5 linked regions of the Oryctolagus cuniculus genome follow. The protein of the gene in region 4 interacts with the protein of the main gene of each other region in a pairwise test. Links are inferred from orthologs where the notes say so. Each region holds a gene or a part of one and is shown on either strand. Other genes may lie near its edges.

The links.
Region 1: the proteins of CCDC172 (region 4) and DCTN2 interact in binary tests that used the Homo sapiens proteins (3 or more experiments, as listed by UniProt). The two-hybrid records come from large-scale screens. The link is inferred for Oryctolagus cuniculus from reciprocal best matches to the Homo sapiens genes CCDC172 and DCTN2.
Region 2: the proteins of CCDC172 (region 4) and HDDC3 interact in binary tests that used the Homo sapiens proteins (3 or more experiments, as listed by UniProt). The two-hybrid records come from large-scale screens. The link is inferred for Oryctolagus cuniculus from reciprocal best matches to the Homo sapiens genes CCDC172 and HDDC3.
Region 3: the proteins of CCDC172 (region 4) and FAM13C interact in binary tests that used the Homo sapiens proteins (3 or more experiments, as listed by UniProt). The two-hybrid records come from large-scale screens. The link is inferred for Oryctolagus cuniculus from reciprocal best matches to the Homo sapiens genes CCDC172 and FAM13C.
Region 5: the proteins of CCDC172 (region 4) and SMARCE1 interact in binary tests that used the Homo sapiens proteins (3 or more experiments, as listed by UniProt). The two-hybrid records come from large-scale screens. The link is inferred for Oryctolagus cuniculus from reciprocal best matches to the Homo sapiens genes CCDC172 and SMARCE1.

Annotation. Positions count from the first base shown.
Region 1 is NC_091442.1:60,157,701-60,161,659, reverse strand, and holds the start of DCTN2 (dynactin subunit 2), read left to right. Parts: upstream 1-1,149; 5' UTR 1,150-1,349; coding exon 1,350-1,385; intron 1,386-2,261; coding exon 2,262-2,330; intron 2,331-3,959. UniProt on the Homo sapiens protein: Part of the dynactin complex that activates the molecular motor dynein for ultra-processive transport along microtubules. In the dynactin soulder domain, binds the ACTR1A filament and acts as a molecular ruler to determine the length.
Region 2 is NC_091443.1:100,334,244-100,337,632, forward strand, and holds HDDC3 (guanosine-3',5'-bis(diphosphate) 3'-pyrophosphohydrolase MESH1), read left to right. Parts: upstream 1-1,345; 5' UTR 1,346-1,396; coding exon 1,397-1,508; intron 1,509-1,882; coding exon 1,883-1,938; intron 1,939-2,046; coding exon 2,047-2,287; intron 2,288-2,489; coding exon 2,490-2,620; 3' UTR 2,621-2,879; downstream 2,880-3,389. Other genes in the region: protein shisa-like-1, read right to left, coding at 32-137. UniProt on the Homo sapiens protein: ppGpp hydrolyzing enzyme involved in starvation response.
Region 3 is NC_091446.1:51,729,268-51,732,782, forward strand, and holds part of FAM13C (protein FAM13C), read right to left. Parts: intron 2,594-3,515; coding exon 2,455-2,593; intron 1-2,454.
Region 4 is NC_091446.1:13,984,192-13,987,706, forward strand, and holds part of CCDC172 (coiled-coil domain-containing protein 172), read right to left. Parts: intron 1,079-3,515; coding exon 962-1,078; intron 1-961.
Region 5 is NC_091448.1:21,904,281-21,908,477, forward strand, and holds the end of SMARCE1 (SWI/SNF-related matrix-associated actin-dependent regulator of chromatin subfamily E member 1), read left to right. Parts: intron 1-252; coding exon 253-463; intron 464-3,419; coding exon 3,420-3,628; 3' UTR 3,629-3,693; downstream 3,694-4,197. UniProt on the Homo sapiens protein: Involved in transcriptional activation and repression of select genes by chromatin remodeling (alteration of DNA-nucleosome topology).

The sequences.
Region 1 (3,959 bases), on a different chromosome or scaffold from region 4:
GCGAGACAGAAGCGCTCAGAACACTGCCAACCCCTCTTGAATCTTCAGGGAGCTGCAGGAAAGGGGTCTGGCCTGAGGAACGGATGGCAGGGCAGCAGGACTCTGGAGAGGAAGCAGAGGCTTGGGCAGGAGCCCGCAAAGAGAATGACAGTGATTCCAAATTCAGGAACTCTCCAGTCACTTGGTTTGGCACTGATTCTCCGTGTTGCAGCATCTGGCAAGTTCAGGAAACATCCCAGGGGCTCCAAGGTGGCATCCTTAGTGAAGGGGCTTCAGATCGCCAGTCCATGGTGTGGGGGGGTCACTGGTCACATGCCCTCAAAAACTACATGATTTGTTATGTCTCAAAGGGCTGTCTTTTATTCTGAGAGCCTGCCCTTCCTACTTTTTATTGAATGATGATGGTGATAACAGATAGATAGTAGGTTTTTCTGTCTGTAATGTCCTTACTTAGTAAAATAAAAAGACAGCAATGCTATGTCTGCCCTCAAAAAAGGCTTGTTGTTTTAATTTTACCGGACCATGACATTCAAAAGTCCAGGAACTGTTGGCCAAGTGATCAAGAACACAGTGTTCAAACATGGAAGCACCACTTATCCTTTCCTGAACTTCTGTAGGATTGCCAGGTTTGAAAAGCACAAAACCAAGATGCCCACTTAAATTTGAATTTCCGGTAAATAATAATTTCTTTGTGCCAGTATATGACATAGAATATACTCATAGAAAAACAACACAAATGGCCTATTGTTTACCTGAAATTCAGATGTAACTGGGCGCCCCGTATCTTATCTGCCAGTCCTAATTGGCAAAGGTTGCTTAACTTTTCCGTTCCTAACAAACATGCACTAAGCACTTAGGAAATGTTACTTCTTGCTATTGTTTCTGAAGCCAGGGCTATGCTACACAGCAGGACTAGCTGTGTGGTTTTCTATAGGCAGGTTCTGGGAGGCCAACACAGCAGCTGTAAACGTTATTCACAGACCTGCTGTAGCAATAAAAGCAAGCAGCTGTGTGATGGAGCTCCTCCAGGTGCGTTAGGGCCGGTCCCCGCCCCGACGCGGGGGACCCAGACTACACATCCCACAATCCTAGGCGGCGTCCCCTGGCCATTACCTCATCGCCTGGCCTCGTTTTCGCCAATCCCTGCCTCTCCAGGGGTGTGGTCGCGGGCTGCTCTCGCGACTTTTGCTTTACCCTTCTACTGTGCTTTTGTCGCGAGACTTCCTGCGCCTCTGCCGCTCCCTTTGCCGCCGCCTTAGCCGGGGACCCGGACCCAGCCTCTCCCCTACCCGGTCACCGGCCCCGGCTTCGCCGAGGCCCCGGTCCCCCAGCCCCGCCTCGCCGCCGCCATGGCGGACCCTAAATACGCCGACCTTCCCGGCATTGTGAGTACAGGGCCGGCCCCGGTTCCCTAGGACCGCGGCCCCGACCTCCCAGGGACCCCCAACAGAAACCTACCCGCGACCCCTCCCGCCTGCCGCCCCTCCTCAGCCCCGAGGGCTCCCGCCGCTGCTCTCCAGCCGGCCGCAGCACCTCCCCGGACCACTGACCCGGCCGGAGCCAGGCCGGGTTTTCGGACAGCCCACCAGGCCCCCTTTCCAGCAGCCGCCGGCTTCTCGGCCCAGAAATCGTCTCCGGACGCTTACCACTTGTACCCTTGTTTTTACCATCTGTGTCAACCCCGCCCGTGCCTCTGCAGACCTCCCCATGAGCCCCCCCACCCCCGTCCCTAGCCCCGACACACAACACCAGGCCCCTTGTGGTCATAAACCTGCCAAGGAAGAGGTTCCTGTGGCAGAACCCCTTCTTGTGTCACATGGGGAGGTCTGGCCTTCGGGAAGCCGGCGCCCCCCCTACCTACATGCACGCGTTGGCTTTTGTGCTGCCCGGCCTGAGTTCTTGGGGGTGGGGCACAGGAGGTAGAGTGCTGGGTCCTGAGTCACTGTAACTCTTCAGCCAGGGTAGTGATGTACAGGGCCTAATTCGAGGATAGCCCTCACCTCCTTCGGACGTGCCCCCCTCCAGAATCAGGGTTTGTTATCACTAACACTTACGCTCAGCTCCCAGTTGTGCCCACTGTCATCCCCATTACTCGGAGATCGGGGTACAGACACGCTGTTGACAGTGCAGGTGGAGGAGAAGGGACAGGATCCTGGCATCATAGCCTGCCTTCACCGTTAGCTCGTTCAAATGGGAGTGGGGATGGAGGTGCTGATGGGTGCTGGGTAGTGAGGCTGGGTGGTCCCTGCTTCTGCCTGCAGGCCAGGAACGAGCCAGATGTGTATGAAACCAGCGACCTACCTGAGGATGATCAAGCGGAGTTTGATGCGGTAAGACACTGTGCTGCCTCAGGACTCCTCCCCCAACACAGGCCCTTCCCCTGGTCTGCAAAGCCACAGCAATAAGCGGGTATGCCAACCCCAGGCTGCACAGCTTGCATAGGCCTTCCTGGCCTCACAGCCGCCGAGGAGCAGAGCCAGGAGCGAGAGTCAAGCCAGTAGGATTACCGCTAACGAGACCTGTGTGCAAAGCCCCGGTCCTTGGGCCTTTAGATATTTAAACTGAAATAGAACAATTCCATTTGGCACTGATGACTTAGTTCACTAGGCCTTGGGTTCTCATCCATAGCAGTGAGCCATGATGCATGAGCACTCCAGATAAAGAAAATAGGCTTTCTACATGTTCATGAGTATCCTCCCAAGAACTAGACTTTGAAGTATAGAGGAATACTTCTTACAGCCATTGGGCAAGGAGCCAGGAAGATTATTTGGAGATGTTAGATAACGGACCTGATCAGAACAAAAGAAGTTTGAGGAAGAACACACGTGTTTCGTGTCAGCAGAGGAGAGGCTGTGGTAGCTCTTCCAGATCCAGAACTCAGGAGGAAGAAGCTAGCAGTGGAGACAGTTTAACCATGAGGAGAGCCTTTTTTTTTTCTTTTTTTTTTTTTTAAAGGAAATACAACTATGAAAGGCAGGGAATTTTTTTTTTAAATATGAAAGGCAGAAAGAGAAATAACATCTGCTGGTTCAGTCCCTGTCTGCCTGCAATAGCTGGGCTGGGCCAGGCCGGAGCCTGGATCCAGGAACTCAGTCTGGGTCTCCCGCATGGGTGGCTGGTATCCACATGCTTGAAGCAGTCACCTGCTGCCTCCCACAGCGTGCATTAGCAGGAAGCTGGCCTGGAGCAGAGCTGGGACGGAAACCCAGGCGCCATGGTGCAGGCTGCAGGTGGCCCACGTGGCATCCAACTGCTGCCCCAAGCAGAACCATTCAGCATCATTTATTAAATGTGTTTATTCTTTGTGCAGCACAGAGGAAGAAAAGCCCCTGTCCTTAGAAAGCCCAAGACTAAGGGAGAATTGGGATACATGTAGGAAACATGGGGGAAAAAAACAAAGTTGAGTGAATGAAAATGAACATAGTAAAAACTAGGTGCATAAGTGCCAAGGGGGACAAAAATCTATTAGTATGTTTCACAGGCTGGCTTTTAGGTTCTTCTGTTTCCAAAGAGAGCTGGGCTGGGTCACGTTGATTATGTGAGACTCAGAGAAGCTGTGGCCAAGAGTCACTGGGAACAGGCTCAGGATGCGTGTCTGTAAGTCCTGTGGCTGCATCTGTGGGGCTGGTTAGTTCTGGGGAATGCTGGTTGCTGGCTTCCTATGTATGGCTTGGCGTACTCACTTATTTATTTGATTCCCCCTTGTGGAAGTGCTTCCTACATTGTGGGGAACACCTTCCCTGTCCCCTCTCTCAGTGATGTGTTCCTTGTGGCTTCCATACTCGCTGGCATGTCAGTCTGTCCCCCAAGCTTGAGTATCTGGAGATAATGCAGATGATGTTGTTGCCAAGGATCTGAGGGTGCACCTGTCACTCCAAGAGTGTGCACCTGTCGCTCCAGCAAGCTGCTTCCATCCTCACAGGATAGGAGTGATATAAGCTGAGAACTTCCCTGTGCTG
Region 2 (3,389 bases), on a different chromosome or scaffold from region 4:
CAGCCCGCAAAACGCCCGGGAAGCGCAGTACCTGAGAGAGAGGTGGGCCGAGCACGGGACCCCGGACCCAGGAGCAGCAGTAGCCCCACCCACAGGCCTGTGGGCGAGGGGCCGGGCCCCCTTTTCTGGAAGCCCATGAGAGGTCACCTCGGCCTCCGCCCTGGTGCTAGGAACCCCAGCATCTCCTCGGCGTGGCCGCGGTTGCAGACAGAATACAAGATCAAAGCCGCCAGGCCGTGGGCCCACAACCCTGCTGGAGCTGCCCTGTCCCAGGCTTCTGGAGAGAGATGAAAGGGACCGGGTTTGTGTCTCTCGGTGGAATTCGCGCCTGAGGTTTTCTGGGCGCAAGGGGGACCGGCCCGGAATGGAGGGTGAGCGAGAAGTGGGGCCGTGAGCCCCCAGGACAGGCACCAGGAGCTGGGTGAGCTCCTTGCCACCTGTTCTGCAGCTCCCTGGCTGCCCGTGGAAGCCCTGGGAGTTCTCACCCCTCTCTTTCAGCCCCCAGGGACCCCAGCTCCCTCCCTGTGCAGCGTAGCAACCAGCAAGACTACATGGAGACCAAGGGTGAGCCCTGCTTGGTAACCTTTCCCCTGAGCCTCACCAGCCCAGCCGCCCGCCTAAACAGAAGTTCCCAATCCGACTGGATGGCGCGTGGCCACCAGGCAACTCCATGTCACCGAGAGGCTCTCTGGGGGTCCCCAGGTGCCTCGAACCCCTCCTCCCTCATACCTGCCATTTCCAGAAGCCCCGTGGCCACCAGCTGGCTGAGTTCGGTGTCTTTCCAGTGCCTACCCGGGGCCTCACAGCGTCATGCTCCCAGGACAACAGGGACAAACACCTGCCACCCTCCGCCCCCCCCCCGGGGGGGGTGCCGAGGCAGGTGCCTGGGGACTGGAGCAGGAGGCGCCCTAATGGCTTTCCACAGCCAACACCAATTCTGTTCCAGCGCCAAGAACCAGGGCAGTTCCTGTAGAAACATTGCTGCGGCTGGGCCGGGCTCCCAGGGCAGCCTGAGCTTCCCAGAAGGTCAGGCCCTCGGGCTTCCTGGCTCATCCTTGCGGGGAGAACTGTTTTCCCAGCACCTGGAGATCGCTTAGTCTTTCCTGGTGGAAACCGGCTGGGTGGAGTGCCCCAGGCTCCGCACACTGTGAGGCTACTTTTTTTTTTTTTTTTTCATATCTTTCCACTGACTGTGGGCTCCCAGGGAGCCACGCTACGCTTTTCGTATAACCCAGCAGGACACGCCGAGCCGGGCGCTGCTTCCCGCCCCGTGGTCCTGTGTGCCCAGGCTGTCAGCCCCAGGCCCACTCTTAGCTGGCTGCAACAATGAGGGCCTCCGCGGCGCCAGGGGGCGCTCTAGACGCCCGCGAGCGCAGTGGCCAGCCCCACCCGCGCCATGGGCTCCGAGGCCGCACAGCTGCTGGAGGCCGCAGACTTCGCGGCTCGCAAGCACCGGCAGCAGCGCCGGAAGGACCCCGAAAGGACACCCTACATCAACCACCCGATCGGTGGGCGCGCCCGGCCGGGGAGCAACCGTCGCGGCGCCTGGGGGCGGGGGCTGGGGGGGGACCCGGAAGGGGTCGCGGGGGCCGTGCGCTTCCTTGAGCGCCCACTTTGTGCCAAGCGCTGTGCAGGCAGCGTCCGTGCGGCAGGCCAGGTGGGCCGCACTGCAACCCGGCGCAGTAAGCGTGACTGCTCCCTTCGCACGGTTGACACCCAAGCAGGGTAAAGGACTTGCCCAGGGTCGCCCAGCCTGTGAGGGGGTCTCTATCTGGCTGCCCACGACCCCACAGCCGCCATCTCGCGGCTCCCTCCGGTCTCACTCATTGTTTTGCCCCCATCTCACCCCCCACCCCCACCCCCATCCCAATCCGCCCGCCAGGTGTGGCTCGGATCCTGACCCATGAGGCGGGAATCACTGACATTGTGGTGTTACAGGTAACTGCCCCACTTCTCAGGAGGGTTCAGGCCCCCCACACACACACACCCTCAGCAATGGGCACCCCTGGACTGGCATCGCGTGGCTGAACGGGAGCCTGTCCCCAGGCGGCCCTGCTCCACGACACCGTGGAGGACACGGACACCACCCTGGACGAGGTGGAGCTGCACTTTGGGGCGCAGGTGCGGCGCCTGGTGGAGGAGGTGACAGATGACAAGACTCTGCCCAAGCTGGAGAGAAAGCGGCTGCAGGTGGAGCACGCGCCCCACAGCAGCCCGGGGGCCAAACTGGTGAAGCTGGCCGACAAGCTGTACAATCTGAGAGACCTCAAGCGCTGCACCCCGGAGGGTACGCTCCCCACCCCGCACTCCCCTGCTGGCCCTGGGGGAAGGGAGGGAGCAGCCCTCGGGAGGCCGCAGGTGGCTCCGCGGGTCCCACCCGCCACCCTCTGAGGTTTTCAGCACAGATCGCCCCATTGGGAGCTCGGGCCAGGGCCCTGCACCACACCTTCCCGGAAGTGGACAGCAGCTTCCTGTCCACTCTCGCGCAGGGTGGTCAGAACCTCGAGTGCAGGAATACTTCGAGTGGGCGGCGCAGGTGGTGAAGGGGCTTCGGGGAACAAACCGGCAGCTGGAAGAGGCCCTGGAGCAGCTGTTCAGCGAGCGTGGGCTGACGCTCTGAGCACCGGGGGCCAGGCCGCGTGCAGACCCCGGCTTTCGGGGCCTCCCCTTCTCCCTCCGCCCACGTACACTTGGTTCCCCCCTCTGCAGAGGCTCAGTTCTCCCCAGCGGGAGGCAGCTGTAGCCAGTCCGTTCCTAATGCACTCACTGCCTTTGCCCACGTCGAAGCCCTGAGATCGCTGGTCCCTCGGGGACGTGGGCTTGTTTACACTCTAGGTGATCAGCCACCAAGGAAAATAAAGCGTGTTGGGTAAAAGGAAGCTGCGGCTGCTCCTTCGCCTTGTCCGTGGCCTGCTCCCCCGGAGTGAGGGCCTCGCCCCTTCCAGCCTCCCTTCCCTAAGGGGTAGGTGGGTTGTATCCTTAGCAGGAAGCCTCCACCTTGGGAAAGTCGCGAGGGATGACGCATGGTTTGGAAAGGAGTGCCGCCCGCCCCCTGGCAAACCTCGCTGCCCACTGGGGAGACCCCAGCCGCCCCCACGACGGAGCCAGGAAACCGAGTCTCGCAGGCTCCTCCCCCGCGCAGCGGCGCTCCGGTTGCTAGGCGACGGGCAGTTCCGGCCCCGCCCCCTGCAGGCCTGGGGCGGGGCAGAGGTCGCCATCGCCAGCTGGTGGGGTTGGGTGGTGGCTGTGAAGCCGACCGAGGACAAGGAAACGTCGGAGGACAAGGAAACTTAGCTCAAAGGCCGCTGTGTGCTGGACCGCAGGACTGTTTTGCCCAGTGTAGGGCGAAAAGACGCGGAGCGGGAAGCTCCCGTGTAAACGGATACCCG
Region 3 (3,515 bases), about 38 Mb from region 4:
GTCTTCCACAGAAGATCTCTACAACATAGTAGGTCTCTGGACTGATACTGAGAAGACCCAAGTTGTTATCTTGGCTAGATCAGTTCTTTGTAGTGTGATCCCAGGGAATTCACTCAATATCTGTAATTGTCAGAAAAGAAAAAAAAAAAAAGACTAGCAGATCCTTACAATGCTAACATTCTGTTTCCACCAAGTAGACATGTGGCTACAGCAGCATTTTTCTAACCTCTAGAATCTAAAAGTCAGACAAAAAAAATCAGTTGTAGCAAATAACCACAGTTTGGGACAGGAGAATAAAATGGTCAAATTCAACAGAGATGCAAAGATGTGTGATAAACACAGGCATCAGAACAGTGCAGAGGCTTGGCAGGAGCTTGGGTTCAAAAATGAGCAATGGGAACTATTAATTCCACATTCAGGCTGCCGGGAAGGGAAGTTTACACACAGCAACCAGTTAAAGCCCACTGATAGGTCAAACCTCTGACCAGAGCTTGGCACCTTGACAAGAAGGGCAAGGGGAAGCCCTGTTTCCTGAGACATATAAGGTTCTGATTATTTCACGGGCTTTTATGCCCACTAAAGCAATGCCAACCATGAAGTCCCCTGTCCCTGCTCCTCCTGATGCATCTGTCTGCAAGTGTATTTATATGTGTATATCTGCTTTGGCTTTACAGCTTCTCTAAACAAAGGCAGGAGGTGCCAGGAAAATTCTCTTCCAAAGTAGGCAGCTGCTGGGTGGCTGCTATGGTTGAGAATAATCATCCACAGTCTCTGGCTACAGGTGGAAAAACCCACAGAGAATTACCACGTACAAATTTCCTTTGCTTTATGACAAGACAGAGATAGCCATTGGCTAGCCTGGTCAAATATATCTCACATAGATTAAAAAGCTACTTTAGAATCTAGTAGCCCAATTTGTGTCAAACACTGTAATAAGCATATATATCCCTTATTTACTACTCAGAGACTCAAGAAGTTACCACTAATATTAACTGCACTTAGCGGATAGACAAATGGAGACTCAGAGAGGTCAAGTTCAAAGTCACAAAGTTCTTAAGTTGCTCCACTGGATTTACATCCAGGAGAGTCCGATTCTGAACTTCCAGGTAAGATGTGTTCACAGGCCCTGGGCAAGAAGCCTGAGCTGGTAGTCCACAGTTCCCAGGGTTGGGACATCACAGGCCCAGGAAGTCTGCAGCAAGCAGCAGGTAACAATCAGTGCTTTCAGAGTATCTGGAGCTTTCAAACACGGCACACGTAAGAGTTATCTGACTTCTCCACTGCAAAACCTATTCCCCTTCAACCCACTGATCCAAGCCCAAGCTGACAGACAGTCACGGGATGTAAGCTCTAAGTCTCTGCCCGGCCTCTGTTTCCTTATTTGTAAAATAAAGGCCTGGACTAAGGCAGGGCTCCCAATAACCGCTGTGACAGTCTGACCCTAGGGAAGAGAAGAACCTTCAACATCCTGACTAAGGTTGCCTTAAAAGTCAACCTGGTTTTACCTCCCACTTTGGAAAGCTGAAAACCACTCCTTAAAATTCCCCCATTAGTGAACCTGAGCCCGCTATGGGAAACACAGGACAGGAAGACTGGAATACTACCCTCTTCCACCGCACTCCCCAGAACTTAACACCATGCTCACAGGAACCTCCCAACTGTTTTTGTCCCAAATGCTCAGGGAGCCTTTACGTATTCTAAGATGTATGACGGATTGTTTGTTTTCTTTTATTCTCATAGCAAGCTGTTCTGGGCTCTTTGCCAAAGACTCACTATCTTTGTGCAGTTCCGTGTGAATAGGACTTTTCCTTATGCAGTGGTCGCCATCCGAGAAAATAAAGAAAAGCAGCACTGATTATGTGAGAAGCAGCAAGGCTCATGTTTGTAGCACTGCGGCACTAGCACGAAGACTCGTGCCTCTCTGATGGCAAAGGAGGTGCAGACTTGTTCTTGTGGGTGGCCCTGAACTGATGTCACATGACAGGTCCCTTTTTCTCCCACCAGGACATGCTTCAGTGTCACAGAAACCATCTTGCCCTGATGCTACTCCACAATTGGACATTCTGCCCTTTAGGTCCTTAATAGTGCCCTATCAAAATGGGAAAAAAAGTTAAAAAAAAAAAAGACAAAAATTCAAATGCTTTCCAAATTTTCATTCTGGAATAACTAGTGATAATAGGGTCCTCCAGGAAAAAAGGGTGTGATCACAGTCCAGTTCAGAAGTGAGAGTCATAATCCATTACAAGAAGTATCACAGCAGAGACCCTCCCACCAACAGCAGGGGAGACTGCAACAGACACAAGATGCAGACTGAGTTTATCATGGGTCCGGGTTGGCCAGTGGGAATGGAGTCGATGCCTGCCAAGCAGGCAACCCAGAAAGAAGGAACGCAGCCCAGGAATATCCACACAGCTCTGACACAATCTGCTCTTACATCCAACCCCAGGTGCTTACCCGGTACTTCTTTTCCTGTTCAAATTTTTCTTCAAATTTCCGAATTTTCCGCTTGAGGCTCTGGATGTGCTTGGTGAGCTGGGTAATGGTCTGTGGCTCCTTGCTATCACCACAGCTGCCCCGGGAAGAACTTCGGGGCCTGCAGGAGGCACAGAAGGGAAGAGCGTCAAAAACAGTGGTCTTGGGTGGGCATTGGGCACAGCAGTTAAGACATGGCTTGGGATGCCTGCATCCCATATCACAATGCCTAGTTCAAGTGCCAGCTTCTGTACTTCCCATCCAGTTTCTTGCTAACAGGAACCCTGGGAAGGCAGCAGATAATGGCTCAAGTAGTTGGGTCCTTGCCACTGAGGCAGGAAATCTAGATGGAGTTCTGGGCTCCTGGCTTTGGCTTTCTTGTAGGTATTTGGAGGGTGAACCAGCATATGCAAGATCTCTATCTCCTCTCTGTGACTTTCCCTTTCAAATACATAAATCTTTTTCAGAAGGCTTCTCTGTCTCTCTGCCTTCCAAATAAAATGAAAACAAACAAACAGTCTTTGAGGACACATGGCTGCTTGGTCTACAAACCAAAGATTATCACAAAGTGCAGAGATAACTTGTTCATCACGTGATGAGGTTATCATGGTTGCATCTGCTCAATAAAGGAGACCTCTGATCACAACGTGTTTGTGAGCAGATGTTGGCATAGACTCTAGTGCACAAATATATATATATATATATACATATATATATATATGTGTGAAATTTGAAGAGGGCTATTAAAGCTCTCACTTTTTCATAATCGTAAAACACACAGAGGTTAACAAGTATCTAGCGTTCCCACAACCCATGCTTGGCTGCTACCACTGGACATGGGCGAGAGTCTGGGTTCATCAGGAATGACAGTCCTGCCATTTACATGTACCTACAAGGGTACTTTACCGAGTTTGTAGAAAATGCACATTGGTGCAAAAACAATTTTCAAATCTCTGCTTAGTTTTCCCCTAACTCTCATTCCCATGAATTTTTTGACAATCCCTAGCATACATGCTTATACACCAACTCAGGGTACTAGTCAT
Region 4 (3,515 bases):
AAAGAGGAGAGACATACACCAGTGGCAGGGGATGAGAAGAGGAAGACAGACAGAGATCTCCTAATCACTAGTTTATTCCCCAAGTGCCCGTAACAGCCAGGAATGGGCCAAGCCAGGAGCGGCGAGCAGGAGCAGAGCTGGGACTTAAACCCAGCCACTCTGATGCAGAATGTGGGAATCCCAGCACCATCTTAGCCACTACCCCAAATGCCCATACCCCAAGGAAACCTTTCAAGATGTAGATAATGAAGGCAAAATTATAGATCCATTTCAAAATCACTTACAAATAATAGTTTACATTTTATTAAATATCAATAAGGCATGGAAATAAGAATTTCCAAAAAAATTCTGGATAATGCAAAACCCTACATTTTTTTTCACAAAGCTAGATATTATCACATTTTTTTCCATTTTTTCTAAAAGATGTCAACTAATCATGAGCCACATTCAGAAACTAGCCATGTCATTCAAAATCAAGTTTGTAGATTTTGATTTTCAATATGTATATTTAATATCTTTAAATATATTTTCTTTAAATGTCGATTACATGTCGTCATATTTCTAATCTGGCTTTGTCAGTCAAAACTGATGCTCAGTTCGCTGGCTCTGACTCAAGAAAAAAGAATAAACAAAATCCATTATTTTCCCACATTCATAAATATGCGTAAAGTGTGAAAAGCATTAAAACAAACCAAGTTCTAAAATCCAGAAAATTTCAAAATCAGCTTCACTGTTTTTTAATGCAAATAATTCCTACATCACATCCCTGCCAATAGAATTATCTCAAACTATATTACTTTGTCAATTGATTTTAAATAGCACTTAATACTTTTCTGTAGATACTGAACAGTACTATCTGCCAATATGCATATGGATAATTTTCTGAAAGTACACCTAACTATATTAAAATACTTTTAAACACAGTTATTAAATGGATTTTTCTAAGTGGCTGGAGACTTACAAAGGTTTGGAGAAGCATATTCCTTTGGTTTGTAATTTCACTGCATTGTCTTTCTAAAGCATTTTCATGAGTTTTCAAAAGCTGTAAGAGGAAAGATTTTTCAGAAAACTGCTGAACCTTCAAAGTAAAAAGAAACAAAATGCAGAATGAAACAATTAGACATTTTATTTTAGAGTGTCTTAGTCAATAGAACAGATTTATAAAACACTTTCAGTATTAATTTTAACCTATAAAATAACATTCACATTAAATATCTTACTTTATATGCAGTATCATATAATATTTTATAAATGCCTTATTTTTACAATTTTATAATCTCTCCCCTTGGGAAGACTATCAGCTCCTCAAGGGCAAAGACCATGTTTCTCCACACCCAGCACAGTTCTTAGCTTAGGAACTAAGCTATTAGACTAAGCACACTGAAATCTACTTCAAAATAGTTTGTTCTAAAAAATAAGCTTCTATTCATATTACTTATAAGGAAGACATGGACAAATAAGTCATTTACACAATATGATTAGTAAGTTCATGAGATAAAACCTACAAACTACAGGCAAAAAAAAAATCAGCCACATGATTACATCAAATAACATACAAATCTGTTAATGCCCTTCAATACAGTTGGAGAACACATTTTTTAATGCCTCACATGGTTATAAATAACAAAGTATATAATAAATATTAATTTGTTCTTTAAAATATACTATCTCCTAAAACATAAAAATTGAAACATAAGCCAGGAAGCTTGAAAAGATAAAAACCAAAAATTATGTTGGACAGGTAATCTTTCTACTACATTCAGTACTATCCCTCAAAAAAAAAAAAAAAATCACTTCCAGTTGGGGTTGTTCCCATCTCTACAGAGAAAAGAAAAAGGATATAAATTCAACTTAAATTGCAGAAAGCAAGATTTATGTTGGTTATAAGAACTTCCTCAAGGTGAGAAACAGGTTGTGAAATCTCTGTCCCAGAAGATATTGAATAGTAAAGAGCTTAGCAATAGTCTAGTCCAGAGGCAAAGGGTTGGCTGAAAAGACATTTTGAAATATTATAGCTGAAAAATTCTAGAAATATTGGCATTAAAAAAGGAGCCAAAATAAAGCAGAAAATATGATCTTAGATTTATATAAGATCATAGCACATCTGCACACACCTTCAGTGCTGTTCTTACCAGCCCTATTTTAAGAAAGACATCAACAGAGAAAGATTAGAGAAGTACAATTTACATGACCAAAGGAACTGAGACAAACTGGGGGAGAAAAGATGGATTAGTCAGTATTTTACTGTGTAGCAAGGAACAAATTATAAAACATATGGCCAACTCTATAAAATCATATAGAAATTGACAAGGGCAGAAGAAGAGTATGATCACAAATTCTATTGTATTTATTTAGAATAAGAAAACTCTTTAGGACTACTTAGTGCTTATTATATAAATAAGGATAAAATGAAGTCCAAAGAAGTTAAATACTTCAACAAAGGTAACATACTAATTAGGAGCAGACCCAGAAATAAAATTCAGGGCTTCTGTCTTCCTTTCTTCTAAGCCATGAGATTATACGGAAATATTAGAATGATTTCAAAGTAAAAAAAAAAAAAAAAAGTAATTCTAGATCCTAAAAGGGACTTCAGCCTCTGATAATAGTATTTGAAAGTACGTAAGCTTAAGAAACATTTAGGAACATTGTGTCTCCTAGGGTCACCAGAGCTTATTAAGAAGGTTGTTTGCAGTAAACACCTCTAGGGTTACCACTTTGGACAGGAACCATGAATGCCCACAAAAATGCTTCAGAGACCAAATATTGGGCTGAATAAACTTTAGTTTAACTACTAAGGCATTTCAAGTATCCTGCCCTTCAGAACAAACTTCCTGAATTCTAATTCTCTTTCTGCCACTGATTTGTTATGAAAGATCTTTGTCAAAATCTAAAAGTGGGGGCCAGTGCTGTGGCTTAGTAAGTAAAACCACTACCTGCTGCGCCAACATCCCTTGTTGGTACTGATTCCAGTCCTAGCTGCTCCAGTTCCAAAGCAGCTCCCTGCTAATGTGCCTGGGAAAACAGTGGAAGACAGCTATTATGTCCATTTGGAGAGTGAACCAGAGGATGCATGATCTCTCTCTCCTTCACTCGCTCTCTGAAACTCTGCCTTTCAAATAAATCAATCTTTAAAAAAAATTCCAAAAGTGAAGAAAATATTACCTATCAAATAAACAAAATTTTAACTGAGACAAATTTATTAATAAAATTCAGAAAAATCTTCTGCTAAGGACTCAGAAATTAAGGTACTTGTTTCAGCTATCACTAACTCAGAGCTAAAATTACAGTGAGTTAAAATAACAAATATCCAAGAGAGGCAAATGTCATAAATAGCATTTAACTAAAACATTTTCTCATAAGTTGAAAAATAAAACCTATATACCAAAAATTAAAAAGTAGACAACTATTCAAAAGATTCATAAAAAGGACATGCCTATAATTTTCCTCTCCCCTAAAATTCTATGTAAATTATCCATTTTGTGGTCTTCCCTGTTTCTATTTTTAGTCTCTAAAAA
Region 5 (4,197 bases), on a different chromosome or scaffold from region 4:
GAGAGTGAACCAACAATTGAAAAATCCCTCGTTCTCTCCCTCTGCCTCTCCTTCTAACACTATGCCTTTCATATAAATAAATAAAATTCTTAAAGTACATCAAAATTTATTTTTTAATTCTGTGTTTCTGAACTTTTTGAAATACCCACGTGTGATTGCGTAGGCAAGGAACACCCACTTTGAAATGATTTCTCTGGCTCAGAAATGATAAGGAAAGGGCATTACTAAAGTTCTCTCTTCTCTGACTGCTAGTTGTGCGGTTTGAAGGTAGAAGTGGATATGGAGAAGATCGCAGCTGAAATCGCACAGGCAGAGGAGCAGGCCCGCAAAAGGCAAGAGGAGAGGGAGAAGGAGGCAGCGGAGCAAGCGGAGCGCGCCCAGGGCAGCGGCATTCCCGAGGAGGAGCACGCAGCCAGCAAAGCCGAGGACAAGAAGGACGACGAGAGCATTCCAATGGAGACGGGTACGCTGCCAGCCGCACCACGAGGGTCAGGCCGCGGCCGGTCTTTCCTTCCAAACAGCCCCCAAGGTCACGTGGTTCGTCCCACGTTCTTGGTCTCTGGTGGCTGCACTTGGAAGGTTGGGGTCACTGAAGAATGGCAGTGGAGGGTTGTCTGCTGTGTGGGATCAGAGGCCTTGGGGGTCCCCAGTCTGGCTTGGGAATACAAAGTGGAATGGGAGAGCAGTTGAGGGCACCGGCTCTGGAATGAGATCAGGTCTGGGACTGCGTCCCTGCCGGCCAGCCCTGCAGCTTGGGTGAGTTACTCCACTGCGGCCTCCTCACTCGAAGCATCCTAGCAGCCGCCTGCAGAGATCTGCTCCTGGATCTGGTACAGAGCTAGCGTGCAGTATTTTAACCCTTAGTGCTAATACTGTTTAAGCAGTAGTTAGCACTTTTCAGAGTTACAGAGAGGCAGAAGCAGAGAAAGAGGTCTTCCATCTGCTGGTTCACCTCCCAGATGGCCTCAGCGGCCGGAGCTGGGCCTATCAGGAGCCAGGAGCTTCTTCTGGGTCTCCCATGCAGGTGCAAGGGCCCAAGGACTTGGGCCATCTTCTACTGCTTTCCCAGGCCATAGCAGAGAGCTAGATCGGAAGAGGAGCAGCCAGCTGGGGCCAGTGCTGTGGTGTAGAAGGTAAAGCTACTACCTGCAGTGCCGGCATCTTGGTTGGAAGAAGCTCCTGGCTCCTGGCTTCTGATTGGCACAGCTCCGGCCATTTGTGGCCAATTGGGGGTGCATCAGCAGATGGAAGGCCCCCCCCCTGTAACTCTGACTTTCAAATAAATAAATAAATCTTTAAAAAAAAAAAAGCAGAGCAGCCAGGACTCAAACCGGCACCCATATGGATGCCAGCACTGCAGGCGATGGATGTACCAGCTACGCCACAGTGCCAGCCCCCACAGTTACCACTCTTAAGACTGTCTTTGCTGTGTAGGACCACCTTCAGCAGAGTAGACCCTGCAGACCAGATCCTGCCTGCCCCCTGGTTTTCACCAATGGGTCTTTACTGGACACAGCCGTCCCATTGTCCCCATGTCGTCTGCGGCTGTGTGGCGGCGGCAGAGCACTGAGTTGCAGCAGAGCCTCCCTGGGCCACAAAGCTGGACACAGCCACCAGGTAGCCATCGCCAGAAGGTGACAGGCCCCAGCCTAGAAAAGTTTACTTCAGGGGCACTGATTGTCCTGGTAACAAATCTCGGGGGGTAACAAATAACATGGCCATCTTTGGTAAATTAGTCCGGCTTACATGGATTATTACTTCAAGTGTTGCGATTACCTCCCTTGTTGGCACTGCTTTGACCCTGCCTAGTGCCCCCTGTACACAGGCCTGAGCGGAAGGAAGGCATGGGAAACAGCCAGGAGTTCCCTGCACGGTCTTTGCAGGCGGAGGCTCTGCAGCCGTACTTTGCATTAAGCTGACAGACGCCTGGGAAACACTTAATGGAACATAGATTTTTTTGAAAAAAAAAAATTTATTTATTTGAAAGGCAGAAATACAGAGAGAGAAGGAGAGAGAGATCTTCATCTGCTGGTTCACTCCCTAAATGTCCAGGACTATGCCAGGCTCAAACCAGGAACCAGGAGCTTCCTCCAGGTCGCCCACGTGGGTGCAGGGGCCCAGGTGCATTAGCATGGGAGCCGGATCAGAAGTGGAGCAGCCGGGACTTGAACCTGGGCCGCGTTGCAGGCTTGGGCTTACCTGCCTTCTGCACCACGGCACCAGCCCAGAATGTGGATCTCCAGGAGGTGTTTCTGAAAAGCTTGATTCACCAGATTAATGCTTGGGAGGGCTTTAAATGTTTATTTTTATTTATTTGAAGGGCAGAGAGAGATTTCTTCCTTTGATTTACTCCCAGATGCCCACAACAGCCAGGTCTGGGCCAGACCGAAGCCGGGGGCCAGGGTTCTGTCTGCATTTTGCGCACTAGGGCAGGGGCCCAGGTGCTCTTCGGGGGCCTGGTCTGCTGCCCACGGGTTGCACATTAGCAGGAGGTGGGAAGGGAAGCAGTGGCAGGGCTTGGTCCCGGCCCAGCTCCTGCCCAGTCGGGCCGTCCAAGCGGGCAGCTCCTGTTTGCCCTCCTTTCTGTTCCGTGCGAGCACCTTCAGCTCGGCACGTCGGGAGCATGAGCATTTTGTTGTGGTTAAAGCGAGAGTTTGAGAGTGAGGGTAAGGTTCTCTGCTCATGTTCCAGCTAGATAGGGCGCCCGGCCCCTGCCTGTTTGGTCATCTGTCAGTGAGCCGTGTCAAAACGCCTAGGGCTTCACTTGGGTTCTGGCTGTCTAGCTTCGAAGGAAAACTGAGGAAAATTATCAGGGACCGTTAGAGCAGAAACCTCGTGCTGTTGAACGTCTTGCAGAAGACAGCCCAGGACTTCTGTCTCGTGTCCGAGATTCCAGCCTCATTCTTCCCACGTCGGCTTGCTCCGCATTTAATCCAAAGCCCGCTCTGTCCAGCGGAAATACAATGGGAGTTACATACGTACTTAAAGTTTTCTACTAGTGACGTTTTTAAAAGTCAAGTCAGATGAAAGTATCTTTAACAGATAATTATGTATGTGTATTTTCTAAATAATACCATTCAATATGTAATCAACATTTTAAACAAAATTAACCTTTTTTACTTTTCTTGTATTCTAAGTCTTTGAAATCCTGTGTGTATTTTACACTTAGAGCACAGCTCAGTTCAGCAGCTTAATTTTCGTCAGAAGTAAGTTAATCTGTATTCACGTAGCAGAAATTTCTGGTTAGAGAGTGGCTTTCCACGCCCAGGATCATTCTGCACATGCTAGAAATTCCTCCGTAGCCCTGGCTCATCTCAGGTGCCTGTTACCTGCCCTCCTGGGCAGCACAGCCGCGTGCTGTCAGCGTGATGAGGGCCCATGTGTGTCTGGAACTGACGGTGACACATGTGTGATTACAGAGGAGACGCACCTGGAAGAAACGACAGAGAGCCAGCAGAATGGCGAAGAAGGCACGTCCACTCCCGAGGACAAGGAGAGTGGGCAGGAGGGGGTCGACAGTCTGGCCGAGGAAGGAACCAGTGACAGTAACACCGGTTCGGAGAGCAACAGTGCCACGGTGGAGGAGCCGCCGACAGACCCCATACCGGAAGATGAGAAAAAAGAATAGATGTTGCCTTGTTTTATGTGTTCTAAATACTTTTTTAAATGAAAAAAAATGTTTTTTGGTTTTAATGGTGTTATGTGGTTTGTGTATTTTTTTCCTTGTCCATATCACACCACCAAAGGCTTTTTGGACCATTTAGCATCACGAGCCTAACGGCAGTCACCTTCCTTAGACGTTGAACATGGCTCTTTTCTTTGGATCTTGTTTCTAGCCCTCAGCTACGGAAAGCCTCAGAATTTAGGTTAACTGAGAAAGCATTCGCCTCCTTTAGAAAATCATCCTTTGATGCTGCAGAGTCTACTCTACAAATGCCTTCCTACAGCTCACTTGGGTGCTTCCCTAAGCCATAGCTTTAACCCTCTCGGTCCTGGCAGCAGCCTCCCGAAAGTCCCCTCTCGTGTACTTCTGCAGAGAGCAGCTTCTTGATGCGATCATGGGTCCGTGTGTATTTGTTCTCACCCTTTTTATATTTAATCAACGTCCGACTCCAGGTGTGTGTGAAGGAGTGGCGTGCAGCCTGCAGCTGACTGCACGTGGGTCGTGTTGATCCCGGGCAGCTCCCAGGGTTGGAG